Caenorhabditis elegans: one gene and its partner. The protein of the gene in region 1 purifies or fractionates together with the protein of each later gene. This does not show direct contact. Each region holds a gene or a part of one and is shown on either strand. Other genes may lie near its edges. The genes, in order: rgs-7 and egl-30.

The links.
Region 2: the proteins of rgs-7 (region 1) and egl-30 purify together in Caenorhabditis elegans (affinity purification with western blotting, with the first as the bait; one study listed by BioGRID). This does not show direct contact.

What each region holds. Positions count from the first base shown.
Region 1 is NC_003284.9:3,540,749-3,546,622, forward strand, and holds the start of rgs-7 (C2 domain-containing protein), read left to right. Parts: upstream 1-1,799; 5' UTR 1,800-1,882; coding exon 1,883-1,925; intron 1,926-2,003; coding exon 2,004-2,118; intron 2,119-4,657; exon of another isoform or gene 4,658-4,692; coding exon of another isoform or gene 4,693-4,739; intron 4,740-4,807; coding exon 4,808-5,075; intron 5,076-5,742; coding exon 5,743-5,868; intron 5,869-5,874. UniProt on the Caenorhabditis elegans protein: Inhibits signal transduction by increasing the GTPase activity of G protein alpha subunit egl-30 (G-alpha(q)), thereby driving it into its inactive GDP-bound form.
Region 2 is NC_003279.8:1,832,910-1,842,027, forward strand, and holds egl-30 (Guanine nucleotide-binding protein subunit alpha), read left to right. Parts: upstream 1-2,751; 5' UTR 2,752-2,870; coding exon of another isoform or gene 2,871-2,963; 5' UTR 2,964-3,026; coding exon 3,027-3,144; intron 3,145-3,741; exon of another isoform or gene 3,742-5,249; coding exon 5,250-5,377; intron 5,378-5,870; coding exon 5,871-6,088; intron 6,089-6,154; coding exon 6,155-6,283; intron 6,284-6,341; coding exon 6,342-6,471; intron 6,472-7,185; coding exon 7,186-7,339; intron 7,340-7,409; coding exon 7,410-7,517; intron 7,518-7,769; exon of another isoform or gene 7,770-7,836; intron 7,837-7,896; coding exon 7,897-7,979; 3' UTR 7,980-9,056; downstream 9,057-9,118. Other genes in the region: C53H9.2 (Large subunit GTPase 1 homolog), read left to right, coding at 1-262, 310-499, 542-813, 861-1,228, 1,278-1,837; rpl-27 (Large ribosomal subunit protein eL27), read left to right, coding at 1,980-2,135, 2,183-2,320, 2,369-2,485.

The DNA of each region.
Region 1 (5,874 bases):
TTCATCTGTTGCTCTGTTGACAATTATCCATATCATGTCACTAGGCCACATCCCCTTTCTTGATTTTCAATTTGTTTTTTTTTTCAATAATGCTCATCGTAGCTTAGTTGCCTGAACAGTCTTTCATTTGTCTTAAATTTGACTGATGGTGTCAGACAATTGAAGAAGTATCAATAAAGTTGAATCAACAGTAAAGGAAAGTCTCCAAGCTATTTGCCAAGGCCATAAATATCGCGTCCGCGATCGTGGGTCACGATGGCAGGTGTTGAGGGGGGAAAGACGCACATACACACATACAAACGCTAAATGGGTCCCCTCTCCTCAATTGCCGGTCAGAGGAGACAGCCAGGAAAGAAGGAAGACACAGACGAACACTCGCCGTTCTGTGTCTCTTCTCTCTACTCACGTTTGAATTGTTCACCGGCGGGAACGCTCATCATTCAAATTTGAAAAGCTATTTTATCTAATTTCTTAGCTTTTCAAGGTTTCAAACTAGTTTTTTCGTATGTAATTTTGTTCGTTATAAAATTGACCTCATCTGCAAGTGAGTCACTAGTAAAATTTACTTATCATTAAGGTGTGTTTATTTACGGACTATTGATTTTCCATAATTGGATTTCCGTCATCTGATCAAGGCCAGAAAAACTAGTAATCGAGAGTTGAAAACTTATTAGTCACGTTTCACTGGGTGTCTAGGTTAGGGAATGCGCTAAACAAGTAGTTCTGTAGAACGTTATCTGGCACAGTATTAATCACATATTATCTACAAGTAAAAAACATAATGGTTCCTTATCAGTAAGCCTAGACAATTAGATTATCATACAAAATTACTTATATTCCGTCTGCAAAGTTCTGCGTTTTTCCCAACCACTAAATCACCAAAAAATCTAAAACTTTCGGCCATATTTTTCATTGAAACCATCTGGCAGTGAGTCGAATGTTATAAGTTCAGTCTTTTTTTTTCTATTTTTTCTGTCTCTAAGAATGTAAACTCTAGATGTTGTCAGTAAAGATTTTATGGTTTCGATTTGTAACCTAAATATTACGCAACCACCTATCGACACCGACAAACGGAGTAGCGGTTGTTCGCACCATAAATTTTGTCAACTACTCCTTGTAACTTCCTTTCCTTCACCTTCACTTGTATTTGATCTCATAAACTTGCGGGTCATTTGCTATTTAGTTCTGCCTTACTACATGGATTTCTTTCGGAAATGGTTTTTTGTTCCGGATATTTTTTGTTTCATTAAAAGAGTACATTCGATTTTATAATATTTTTTAAAACTAGAAAACAATTTATTGTTCTGAATTTCAAAAAAAGCTATGATTTCCTGACTAAAATCTTGGGGCTTTTCGAAGTTTTCTCTTTTCCAACGGCTGGTAAATTTATTTAAAATTAATTTGGTTATCCATATTTTGCACTTTCTCGTAATTAATTCTTTTTTCTGTTAAAGGCCATACATTTTGATAAATTTAACTCAACTTTTTTTAAAGACGGTACTTTTCTATTAAGTTTTTTATAGCTAACTTCATTTGAAATCTACAAAATTGAAGTATTATAGTTCTTAGTGTTTTAGAATAAATTGTTTGTTTTTATTCTTTTTCGGAACAAGTAAAATTTCCTCATACATAAAATAGTGTTTCAGTCAATCAATAACATAAGATGGATTAGTTTCTATGCTGAGCCGTATAACCCTAGCCTAAAATGACACAACGTTTTCTCCTTCGTTGCCGTTTATGAATCATTTTTCTCTCTCAATTCTCCTTCTATTGCTGTTCCAATTAGTATAGTTTCACTCAGATGGAAAGTCAAAATCGAAGAATCAAGCTCAATCTACACAAATATAAAACGGCCGGAGTCCAGCAGTACAGCATTGACAAGATGTCAGACGAGGATGCAGACGAGTATGACGATCAATCATCGAGTAAGTTGCTTTGTTGCAAACCTGAATGCTCCAGATGTTTGCTATTGTTATTATGACTATATATCTGATTTTTTCCAGTATCGTCAGTGTCGGACGACGACGACTTCTCAGGCTCCGAGTCGGAAAGCTATCAGGACACGACTGAATCCACTGGACCTTCGGAAGCTACAACTGACGAGATGCTGTGGGGAAGGTGAGTTCTTTTAAATGTTTTCAAAAGTTGATATTAGATACTTTTGAAAAAATGTGCTGAAAATTATAAAACGTATTTTAAAATCACGAGAGAAAAGTTTCAAAAAACGTGACAAGTTTGCTATCCTAAAAATTTTCTCAAACGAATTTCGAATACGTTTCACAAATTTCCGCACAATTGGTTTCTGTCACTTTTCAGAACTATTTTATTTATTTTTCGCTTGATAGGTTTTTGCTTCATAGTTCAGTATACTGTTGCTTTGCCCGGATCCCAGTTCATATTTGGTCGTTCTCAGAAAGTGTATTTTTTGAGTAATTTTTTAATTTCCCTTTTAAATCTAAAATTCCTCGAAATCGAAAACTACCAAAACTAATAGACCATAGAAGATTCTTTTCAAATTTTCATCCTCTGAAATTTTTATTTAATTCATCAATTTTAAAAGTTGCATTAGTACAAGTTTGATTAGTCCAATTGCTGATTTTTTCCTAATGGGAGACAGTTCAATTAAATGCGCTCTATTGTACACCTCGGTTCAAACAAACGAGGCATGTATGTGTTGACCATGCACACTACATACTGGTTAGCCTCTGGTGTACGAACGAACGCATTGCCCCATCCCAGTCGGCTGCTCTGTTACGCTGACCGTAAAATACTAGAGTTAGAAAGGAAGAAAGAAAGGACAATAGTGATTTGACAATCCGAACATTCTCAATTATATCAAATCTGGTTCGAATGATCAAAAGAAGCAAAAATTAACAACATTGATTTTGTGAAGAATGTAGAAAGTACCCTTAGACACTTTTCTTCAAATATGCAAAAAAAAATTAAATTTTTGCGCCCAATAAGAACATTTATTTTCACATTTGAAATGACAGAAACGCGTAGTAGTATTTGAGTCGGTATCACTGACCTGATTCATCCACTTAAATGCCCATTTTCGTCGTCAAATGTTTGCTTAAAAATATCCGCGCCTTTTCAAGTGAATCAATTGAACTTCTCTCAAAGTTTTTCTTGTTTGGCGTGTATACAATGTCATGAACGCACAAGTTTTGGATTTCCGGCAATCGATCGATTGTTAAAGGCTACAATAGCATAGGTGATTATTAAACGAGTCCCTCTATAATTTCCACAAGATTTACGACAACCGTTCCGTTAATGTGACCAATCGAAGAAAACCAAAATATCCTGTATTTTCTGTAGACGTTTTATGATTTAGAGGTTTCTGTTTTAGTTTCTGTTCTTAACATTCTAATTGGTCACCGATATCTCTGTCATTTTCTGATACTATGAGTTTTGAATTTTTATACTAATAATTAAATGTTTCTAAAATTTCTCTTACAAAATTTTTACTTTGCCCATCCGACATTTCCCCAGTAATATGTATAGTTTTGAGTATGTTCGCATAATTGCAAATTACGTTGGATGTCGAGTTACCGTGGTTTGATTTTCAGTTGCGCAACGCCACGAATAGCCCTCTACCCCCGTGGCTGCTGGAACGTCAGGGGCACTAAAACTTGCGCAAAAACTTGTTGCGTATCACATTTGATGCTCTGCATTGATGTGTGTTATAATAATTTGTACATCATCATCACCAGATGACGCCTAGACTCGACGCTGCCTAGAGACTTCCAGGTTGATAAGCAAAACAGTGTTTTGTAGTGCTTAAAGTGAAAAACTACGTAACAATAATTCAGAATTTTGATAATCCGGCATATATATGTAACTTTAAAATGTTGTGAATAGTTTTATAACCAAACATCATAAATACTCTAAAACGTTCATAAAAATATCAAATTTTTTAGGGAAACGTTTTGCAGTTGGCCAACTTTTTTGAAATATTAAGGCCTTTTGAGCAATTCTGCATGTGCGAAACCTTAAACTATTGGAATATAATACAAATATTTCACAAAAACGCTCAGAGAACATTTGTATTTGCTAGGAGAAGTTGACAAATTTGTAATTGCCACATAATTTTTTTTTAAATTTACCTTGGTGTTTGATATTTTTCATACTATATAAGTAATTTTCAAAATTCCCTATTGAAGATTTTGCACTGGAAAATGTATTTCATGCTATTTCTTCTCAAATCAAATCTATTATAATATGCCGAGTGAAGAGAGCAACTATCTCAGTTACGCAAAAAGTCGTCTCAAATTCTCTCAAAGTTTATTTTTGAAACCACACACACTCACAAACCTTAATTGGAAAATAGCCTATTAAACATTATCCACCCATTAGTGTCCAATTGCACTTTCCTGTCTTTTCACCCCATCTCGTCACACGCTCTACCTTCCAGCTATAATCCCCCTACTGAAATTGACGGTTGTCAGCAGGATACTGTCCAAACAAAATTGTTTTCACTCCCTAATTAGCTCATCTTTTCTGTACTTAGCGAACACGTGTCATTTGCAATGTGCTGAGAATGTGCATTGATACTCTCTCCTCTCGTCTCTGTCATGCTCCTAACTCCGCCCCTTTAGAGCCATCCCAGAGTTTTGCCTTTGGGAACAGTTCTCGTTTGTATTTCTATCAATCTTACAACCGTTTTTCCTTCAGTAACTAATCCTGTTTATTATGACGTATACTGTAAGAACCAAAACCAAAGGTCTCGAAGCTCTGATGTGAGTTTACAATTCAAATTTTTTAAACCTACTACACAAATTTCTCTATCAATTTATATTTCTTGCAGAAGACGTGCTCCAGTCTGCGGAATCGCTGCACAAGCCGTTCGACGTCAAATTCTAATGAATCAACAACATGAGCCCAACGTTCTTGGGAACAACAAAAAAGTTTACCAAACGTTCGGGTCAACTCCACAATTGGCAAATGAACGACACAAGGAGATGTACTCGCAAATTCGGCGGGGAGACGACTCATCATTTCGATCACGTGACAGATTTGTTCCACCAAGAAGACCAAGGATGGGATACGGATCCAGCGATCTTTCAGCTATTGAGGTAATGGTTTCGTAGTCATTTTAAAATATCAGCGAAGTATTTCAAAGGTGTAGTAGCGCATTCTATAGTATTAAAAAATGACCAAATATCATAGTAAAACTTTTCAAAATTTTTATGAAAGTCCTGTATTTTGTTACAAACGTTGGTAAATTCTCAGTTTTAGTTACTCTTTTCGTCGATCAAAAATAATTTTTCCATTCAGATTTTACGATCAATTTATGTTTTCAACATAAATATTCAAAAATTAGATTCGAACATGTTAAACCGCTATAGTTTTCTCAAAAAATGGCAAAAAAATCAGTGATTGACACTTTTTGACTGTCAGTGGTTTTAATATGAAATTTGGTCATTTTGTACTATAAAAGTGGTTTTTAACAACTTTCCCACTGGCACTTCTCTATTAAAAAATTAGGAATCTTTATTATTCATGTAGTGATCTCGTGTCTTTCCTTCCGTTTATCATGAAAATAATAACATTGATAAAATGCACAATGCACAATTGAATATCTTATCGACAACTGTCAATATTCTAATTTTCGCATATCAAATATGGGAAAATACTGTACGTAATAATAGTAAGAACAACGATTGGTAGATCTCGACTTTCCGAAAAAACGAGAGAGGGGAAAATTAAATTAATGAAGTGCGTCTTGATGGTTATCTCTAGTTGCAGGAAATGTCTCCAATTCGTTCATCGACTTACTCCAGCAGCAGCGAAGCACACAGACTATCGTCTCTGCGTGCTCAAACTGAGTGGAAGCCTCAGCTCACTTCAACAACTACATCGTTTCAGGTTGGT
Region 2 (9,118 bases), on another chromosome or scaffold:
GTGCGAGCAATAAAAAGCCTTCGGGTTTGAACAAATCACTTGGTAATTCGCTTAGCAACGATCGTGAGAAAACTAGGAAAAGTCATCAACGTGCAAAGTACGATGGAAACGACATTGAGAATCCAGCTTTCATGGAACACGAAGTCAATCATTACATCGACTCGGTGACAGACGAAACTAGTTTGGAGGAGTTTTTGGCTAAAGCAGAACTTGCTGGAACTGAATTCACCGCCGAGAAGGAGCAGTTCAAGATTATTGAAAAGTGAGTTTCTGAGCTTAATTTGAATTTTACATATCATTTATTTGTAGGAACTCCGCTATTGTCGTCCCAACAAGGCTGGACTACCGTGCCAATCTTGACCTTCAAAAGGAGAACGAGCACCGTCTTCGGATTCCAAGACGTCCAGCAAAGGAGCTCTGGGAGAACATGGAGGATTTGACTAAGCTGGAAAACGAAGCATTCCTTCAATGGAGGTCCGACCTGAGCGAGCTGCAAGAGGCACGCGGAAGTTTGAAAGACGATTAATATTTTATTCTTCAGGTGGACGGACTGGTACTGACTCCTTTCGAGCGAAATCCTGACATGTGGAGAGAGCTCTGGAGAGTTGTCGAGAAGAGCGACATCATTGTTCAAATCGTGGACGCTCGAAATCCATTGCTGTTCCGCAGTAAAGATTTGGATGACTACGTCAAGGAAGTTGATCCCGCCAAGCAGATTCTTCTTCTCGTCAATAAGGCAGATCTTCTGAAACCGGAACAACAGGCCAGCTGGAGGGAATACTTCGAAAAGGAAAATATCAAAGTAATTTTCTGGTGAGTGACGCGATAAAATCAATATTTTCTAAATATATTTTTTCCAGGTCGGCTATCGATGAAGTCTTAGATCCAATCGATGAAGACGCAGTAGAAACATCAAATCCATCAACTTCCACACATATGTTCGTAACGAACAAGGATGAGCTGATTGCGAAGTTCAAGGAACTTGGTCACGTATCAGATGAGCCGTCAGCAAAGCCAGTCATGGTTGGAATGGTTGGCTATCCTAACGTTGGAAAAAGTTCTACGATCAACAAGCTGGCTGGTGGAAAGAAGGTTTCAGTATCAGCAACACCCGGAAAGACGAGACATTTCCAAACCATTCACATCGACAGCCAACTATGCCTTTGTGATTGTCCCGGACTTGTCATGCCTTCTTTCTCTTTTGGACGAAGCGAAATGTTTTTAAACGGTAACTCGTAGTTTTAAAATAATATTTTCCAAATTCGATTCGATTGCAGGTATTCTTCCCGTTGATCAAATGCGTGACCACTTCGGCCCAACGTCGCTTCTACTCTCCCGTGTTCCAGTTCATGTCATCGAGGCGACATACTCGATTATGCTGCCAGAGATGCAAAGTCCTTCTGCAATCAACTTGCTTAACTCGCTCGCGTTCATGAGAGGATTTATGGCGTCGTCGGGAATTCCGGATTGTTCCAGAGCCGCGAGGCTGATGTTCAAGGATGTTGTCAGTGGAAAATTGATTTGGGCAGCCGCACCTCCCGGAGTTGAGCAAGAAGAGTTTGACCGAATCTCCTATCCAGACAAGAAGACTCGTGATATTGGTCGGGTGCAGATGGAAAAGCTTGCCAAGCTTCAGCTTCTCGAGGGTGATGAGTTGAAGGGATCACAATTTGACTCTCAACACTTTGTCGGATCAATCGGAGTTGCTCATGTCAGAGATTCAAAAGCATTGCCTCAAACGTTAGGAACCGTCATTCCAACTGCTCCTACCGAAAACAATGGAAAGAAGCATTACAAGGGAAAGAAGGACAAATTGAGGAGGATTTATAATGAATAAAGTCACTCTTCTTGTTATTACTTTCAAATGTTTTTACTGTTCTACTGGTTTCCACCCAGGCTATATCTCAATTCTTTTGCTCGTCTCTTATCCTTTTAATTTCTTCTATTTTCTTTTTCACTAATACTTTTTTCAGGTAAATATGGGCAAGATTATGAAGCCTGGAAAGGTCGTCCTCGTCCTCAGAGGAAAGTATGCTGGTCGCAAGGCCGTCGTCGTCAAGCAACAAGACGAGGGAGTTTCGGACAGAACCTACCCACACGCCATCATTGCTGGAATCGACAGATACCCATTGAAGGTACAATCATCTGTTGCTTGTTCGGGATTTAATTATTTTTCTTTCAGGTTACCAAGGACATGGGAAAGAAGAAGATCGAGAAGAGAAATAAGCTGAAGCCATTCCTCAAGGTCGTCTCCTACACTCACTTGCTCCCAACTCGTTACTCCGTCGATGTCGCCTTCGATAAGACCAACATCAACAAGGTTTGTTGGATTTCTAATATATTTCACCTATTATTTTTTAATTTTCAGGAGGCACTCAAGGCTCCGTCCAAGAAGAGAAAGGCCCTCGTCGAAGTCAAGTCCAAGTTCGAGGAGCGTTACAAGACCGGAAAGAACAAGTGGTTCTTCACCAAATTGCGATTCTAAACCGCATTTTTTCTTGTTTTGTTCTGAATAAAATGTTGTTACATATTCCAGTGAGATCGGTTTCATTAGAACGCAGAATTATATTCAATACGTGAATCGGGGCACAAAATCTTAGTGTTTGCAAGCCGGCGGCGAGAGACGAGACGAGTAGAGCCCGTGCGTCAAGGCGAAACGAGAGAGCGTGGCGAGAGTGGAGTGCGGCACGGCGACACGCGTATCTTGGTCTCGCAGCGACCAGTGCTACGGTCGAGGGGAGGCCGGCGCGTTGCGTGTTAGGTGCGTGCGTCAGCTAGCGGTCCTTTTCGGTCAAGCGATCAGCTTTATATACACACACACCCGCCACCACCACATTTCCACCAACAGAGAGGCATCCCTGTGCGTTGTTGTGTTGTTGTTTTTTTGTGATGTTTATAACTTGACGCCCTCAATCGTCCCACCGAAATACAAAAATTGCATCGAACTTCTATCCTCGCTCTAGCGTGTTCTTCTTGTTCTATTCGCTGGCTTCATCTGCGGCCTTGGTGGCACCTTTTCGGCCGCCATGGCCTGCTGTTTATCCGAAGAGGCTCGCGAGCAGAAGCGAATAAATCAAGAAATTGAGAAGCAGCTTCAGCGTGACAAAAGAAATGCTCGACGAGAACTCAAACTTCTTTTATTGGGTAAGAACCGGTTCCCTTCAACAAGAAGTCGGTGTAATATTCATTTAACCTGTAGAATCCTGGAATCCTGAAATCCTGGGAGCCAAGCTAAAATTTGAAGAAAAAAAAACCCCCACAGCCTTCCACGTTATTCCGAAACTTTATTTATCTATTGTTTACTTTTTCCATTTACACCCTCTCGAATTGCACCTGCCCCTTGTCGCCCATTCATCATTCTCCTTATCACCATAATTTCCTTATCAGTCCTCCAGTTTTCCCCCTTCAACACCTCGTTATCAATCGCAATTCCGAACGGTTTTCCTTTAAAATGACAGTTCCAGTTCCAGTCTCTGAAAAAACCTGTAAAACCAAATCAATAAACAGTTCCAAGTGTGTGTGTGTGTGTGTGTAGGAGTGCGCGTATGAAACAGTCTATTTCTCTGCGTGTCGTTCCGTTTTTCGTTCCTATTTGGGGGGGGGGCCTCCAACCCCCCTAATATGTCGAAAATGTGGGGCGCGTCGTCGTTGTCGGGGGCATATATCCCCCGCCGGCCCCCGAAACCCCCTTCTTCTTCTTCTTCTTCTTCTTTCCCTTCCCTTCCCTTACACATATATCTATATATGTGTGTGTGAGTGTGTGTACGTATATAGCATTTGCATGGTAAGAGAGAGCGAGACGCGCTGGTGGATTGCCCTCACAGCGCCCCCCCCTCCCCCTTCCCTGTCGCGTCTGTGCTGCGCGTATTGATCGGTGGCAGCAGCAGCAGCAGCAGCGGCAAAAAGAAAGAATGGGGGGAGTGAGAGATGAAGAATACGACGGGGACGACACACACACACATAGGAGTATTGGAAAAGCAGAGAGTGTGCTCCGCGTGAGTTTGAGTGTCTCTGAGCGAGAGAGCGCGAGACGCAGAGAACCAGAGAGAGGGGCTGCTGTGTGCGCGCGCGATGGAAAAGAGGGAAGAGAGAGAGGGAGAGAGTGGGGAAAGCCACAACCTAATCAGCGCAGCCAACCAACCAACCAACCAACCAGCCCAGCCAACCACGGGGAGGGCTAGGAAGAGCCCAGAGAAAGAAGGATGGGGGTGAAGAGCAGCAGCAGAAGCTTGGCCAGTCCTCCACCCAGCCATAGGGACCGATGGACTAGGAGACGCAGGCGTGGGCTCCTCTCTCTCTCTCTCTCGGCCACAGAGCAACTAGATGAATTCACATACAAATGACTAATGGACATGAGTTGTCTGTGTGTATGTGTGTGTTGTATGCAGCAGTGCAAATTGATTTCCAACCCGCCCCAAATTTGTGTGAGGGCTTTAAAGGAGGAGCAGATTGGCAAGAAAAAGGGCAGACATGGGCTGGAATCGGGACTGTGAAAAGGAACTGGAACGGATTTGGAAAAAAAATTTTTGGAAAAAATTGAATTTGCATGATCTGTTTGATGTTAGTTTCTCAACATGAAAAAAAATTAAAAATTAAAAGGAAAGTTTAATTCATAAATAAGGAAAACAGTAATCAAATGTAGATTTTTTAACATTCAGCGTTCTCTGTCAAAATATCGTGCGCCTTTAAAGAGTACCGTAGTTTTTTGATGTTTCATAAGTTTTCACCAGTTTTCTTAAATTTATTGAAAAGGTGGTTAATTTTTTAACTAACATCACGTGGTGTCAGAGAGTTTCATTTCGGTTTGATCTACCTAGATCTACAAAAAACGCGGGAAAAGAGACGCAGAGTTCTCAACTGATTTCGTATGGTTACGACCGTGTTGACGTCACATATTTTTGGGCGAAAAATTCCCGCATTTTTTGTAGATCAAGCTTTAATGAAATAGTATCACCACGTGTAACATCACATTTTGGAAGAAAAATCAATTCAAACTCAGCAAAAAGTTAGTAACTACAGTAATTTTTAAAGGCGAACCCACCGTATTTTCGAAGTTAGCATTCCCAAAACTATTAAAACCACGTTAAATCCCATTAAAAATTATGTTCCAACAAAAAAATCCTAAAAATAAAAATGATGAAAGATCCAGGTAAGCGAGAAAAATTAAAAACCAGGCTCTCAGGTACAGTAATTGAACAATATATATATATCCAACAACCCATTTTCCAAAAAAAAAATTCAATTTTCAGGGACTGGAGAGTCCGGCAAGTCAACGTTCATCAAGCAGATGCGAATTATCCACGGTCAGGGATATTCGGAAGAGGACAAGCGAGCACACATTCGACTTGTCTATCAGAACGTGTTTATGGCCATACAGGTAGGAATTAGGAATCTGAAAACCTGTTTTTAAAATTTTGAATTTTAACTCATATTTTATTACGAAACCGCCAGTAGATGTTTGACGCAACAAATATCTCGTAGCGAAGTCTACAGAAAAGTTGTAAATTACCACCGGAAACTAATACGTAGTGCCAGGGCTGTCCCATTACGGTTTGATCTACAAAAGTGCTCGAATTTTTCGCCCTAAAGAATTTGACGTCAGGGACGTTCTTAATCATGCTAAATCAGTTGAGAACTCTGCCGCATTTTTTGTAGATCAACGTAGATCAAACCGAAATAAGACACTCTGACACCATGGTAGTTTCAAAAAATATTTTAAAAGTTTCTGTACACTTCGCTATGAGATCTTTGGCGGTTACATAATAAAATTGATTTTTTGAGATTAAAATACTCATTTCGATGGAAAAAAGGGGGGTTTTTCCATTTAAAAAAATCGACCGAAGCCTTAAAATTCGAACTATTTTTTCCAGTCTATGATACGAGCGATGGACACATTAGATATAAAGTTTGGTAACGAATCAGAGGAGCTGCAGGAGAAGGCGGCTGTGGTGCGGGAAGTGGATTTCGAGTCGGTGACGTCTTTCGAGGAACCCTACGTGTCGTATATCAAAGAGCTATGGGAGGATTCTGGTATTCAGGAATGTTATGATAGGAGGCGAGAATATCAGCTCACCGATTCAGCCAAATAGTGAGTTTTAGTGGTTTTTTGTTGAAATATTTTACCTCTTTCTAAACCTCGTTTAACATCTTCCAGCTATCTCTCCGATCTCCGACGGCTGGCGGTGCCAGACTATCTGCCAACCGAGCAGGACATTCTGCGTGTTCGTGTGCCAACCACTGGTATCATTGAATATCCATTTGATTTGGAGCAGATCATCTTTCGGTGAGCTTTTTAATTTACTAAAAATTACATTCAAAAAACGGAAAATTGTGTTTTCCAGAATGGTGGACGTCGGAGGTCAGCGATCAGAAAGGCGGAAGTGGATCCACTGTTTCGAAAATGTCACCTCAATCATGTTCCTGGTGGCGCTTTCCGAGTATGATCAGGTGTTGGTCGAGTGTGACAACGAGGTGAGCTCCCTGGAGAAAGTACTAATTACGAAAAAACTATACGGTATTCGTATATATATATAATGAGCTGAAAACAATCTCTGATGCTTTTTTCGTCTCCCAAGAGATACGGAGATACGGAGAGGGAGATAGTGGCTTTAAGCGAAAATATGCAATTTAGTCGCCGACTGTGCACCATAATTAGGGGCCGAAAACAATCTATTCGGCCCGGAAAATGTGCATTTTTCAAGGGGCCGGGGCGGATATTAAGCTATTTCTCATTTGCACTATAGAGTAACAGTGGGATAAGCGTGTGATGAAGAGCCAGTAGAATATTATAGCATTTATTAAGGGCCAAGTGGTTTACGTATGATAACGTAAGATAACAGAATAACGGGGATTTGGGGATGAGCAAAACACAGGTGACAGGTCAAGAAATGATGATTAATGAGCGTCGCACTCGCCTTATATACTGCCCGACGAGAGAGAGTGAGAGACGCAGAGTTGCCAATTCCGCGGGAAGATGTGCAGGCGGGTCTCGACACGACAGGTACCGAAGGCGCCAATTCAAACAGGAGTTTCTCCCAACACGCGAATTGTTCTCGTCGTAGAAATCGTTACCGATTTCGCTCGTTCTTTCTGTAAATTGTCAGCTAGAACTAAAATATGTGAAGTGTAGAGTGATAATCCTTACAATAGTGCAAAAAAAAAACAAACTAGAAATCAATCTTGCAGAACCGAATGGAAGAATCGAAAGCTCTGTTCCGAACGATCATCACGTACCCATGGTTCACCAACTCATCGGTCATTCTATTCCTGAACAAGAAGGATCTGCTCGAGGAGAAGATTCTGTACTCGCATCTCGCTGACTACTTTCCCGAATATGACGGTTTGTAGAGTCTTTTATTGAGAGACTTTATTTGGGCAAATTTCACCCACCTAAATTGTTTTCTTTTCAGGACCCCCACGCGATCCGATCGCCGCCCGCGAGTTTATTCTCAAAATGTTTGTCGACTTGAATCCGGACGCCGACAAGATTATCTACTCTCATTTTACGTGCGCGACTGGTATGTCTTTTCTTTGTTTGCTAGGTGGAAAATATTCGAGCACGGGGTTCTAGCCTTCTTCATTGAATTTTCGCGCTCCATTGACAATCGTGTCTGCCGGATAAAGTCGTGTACTCCACACGGATAAATAAATTCAGTTTTACAACTAGAATTGAGCCGCGACACGCAACGCGCCGTAAATCTACTCCAGATATGGGCGAGCTAAAATGGCCCAAACTCTTCCAGGGAAGCCAGAACTCCGTGTTCGAGAAAAGCACTTATGGTAGCCACGGGTTACCGATTCGGTGTCCCATGGACACTTAGAGTTGCTCATGGCGAATTACTAAAAAATTGTTTAAAAATATCTAAAATTTTCAAATAAAAGGGACCTCTATTTCAGATACGGAAAACATTCGGTTCGTGTTCGCCGCCGTCAAAGACACAATTCTACAGCATAATCTGAAGGAGTACAACTTGGTGTAAGAAGAAAGTCGCATGTCGGATTGGATGATGATGATGATGATCCATCTCTCTCTCTCTCTCTCTCTCACTGGGTCGAGTGAGACACCACCACCTAAACCTAGGAAACATTTTCTTGTACTCCTTCTAATTTTTGTTTTTTTTTTGCAAAAAACTTTCTCTCTCTGTCTGTCTCTCTCTCCATCTCTTCCTTATTTTCTTATTTTCTCATTTTCCTCCCTAAAACAAATGCTCCTCCCGAATATTCTTTCCATATAAGCACTTTTTTCTTCTTTTTTTGGATGTGCTTTCTGATATAGCTAATGCAAAAAGAAACAAAACTTCTCTCTCTCTCTCTCTCTCTCTCTTTCTGTCCTGTCTATACTCATTTATCATCACAAAAAGTCGGTTTTCACATCCTTCCCTACCCATCAACCTAGTTTCCGGCATGCAAAAACACCACCTAGTCTCTCTGTCATTCACAAAAAAAATTTTTTTTTTTGTCTTTTTTTTTCTCACAAAAATCCCCACAACAAACCGCCGCTTCTTTCGTTTTTTTTTGTCTTGATTCAAATTTTTATTTTTTTTACCTTTCTAACAATTCTAACCACAAAAAAAACACATTTTTCGTGTTGGACATAGTTTTTTTTTCCTCCTCAACTTCAATTTCTCCCACCCACATCCACATAATTCAAATATTATAACGTTTTTTTTGAGTTTTCACCATATTTTTTTCGAAAATTATCGAATGCTTTCTCCACTCCCCTCCCCAAACTTCACCCTTACCCTAAAAATCCCGTTTTTCATATTTTTTTCCCATCAAGCTAACCTCGAAATCCTCCCCCCCACCCTATTTTTTTCCATTTTTCATCGATTTTTTTTTGTCATTTTTCCTTCTTCTTCTTCTCAACCGAAAAAAAAACCATCCCCCATCCACACACCATCCCCCCTTCTTCTTCCCCATTATTGTATCGACTTTTTGCGATAGTTTTTAATTTCATATTTATTTCTATTAACATTGATCTAATTTTATGTAAATGTTTTGTGGACAAAAAGAAATGGTTGAAACTTTATTAAAAAAACCTCGTTTTCCGTATTTTATTTATGTATGATTCGAATCATGATTCAGGAAAAAAAGCGCGCGCGAAAATCATTGATTTAAA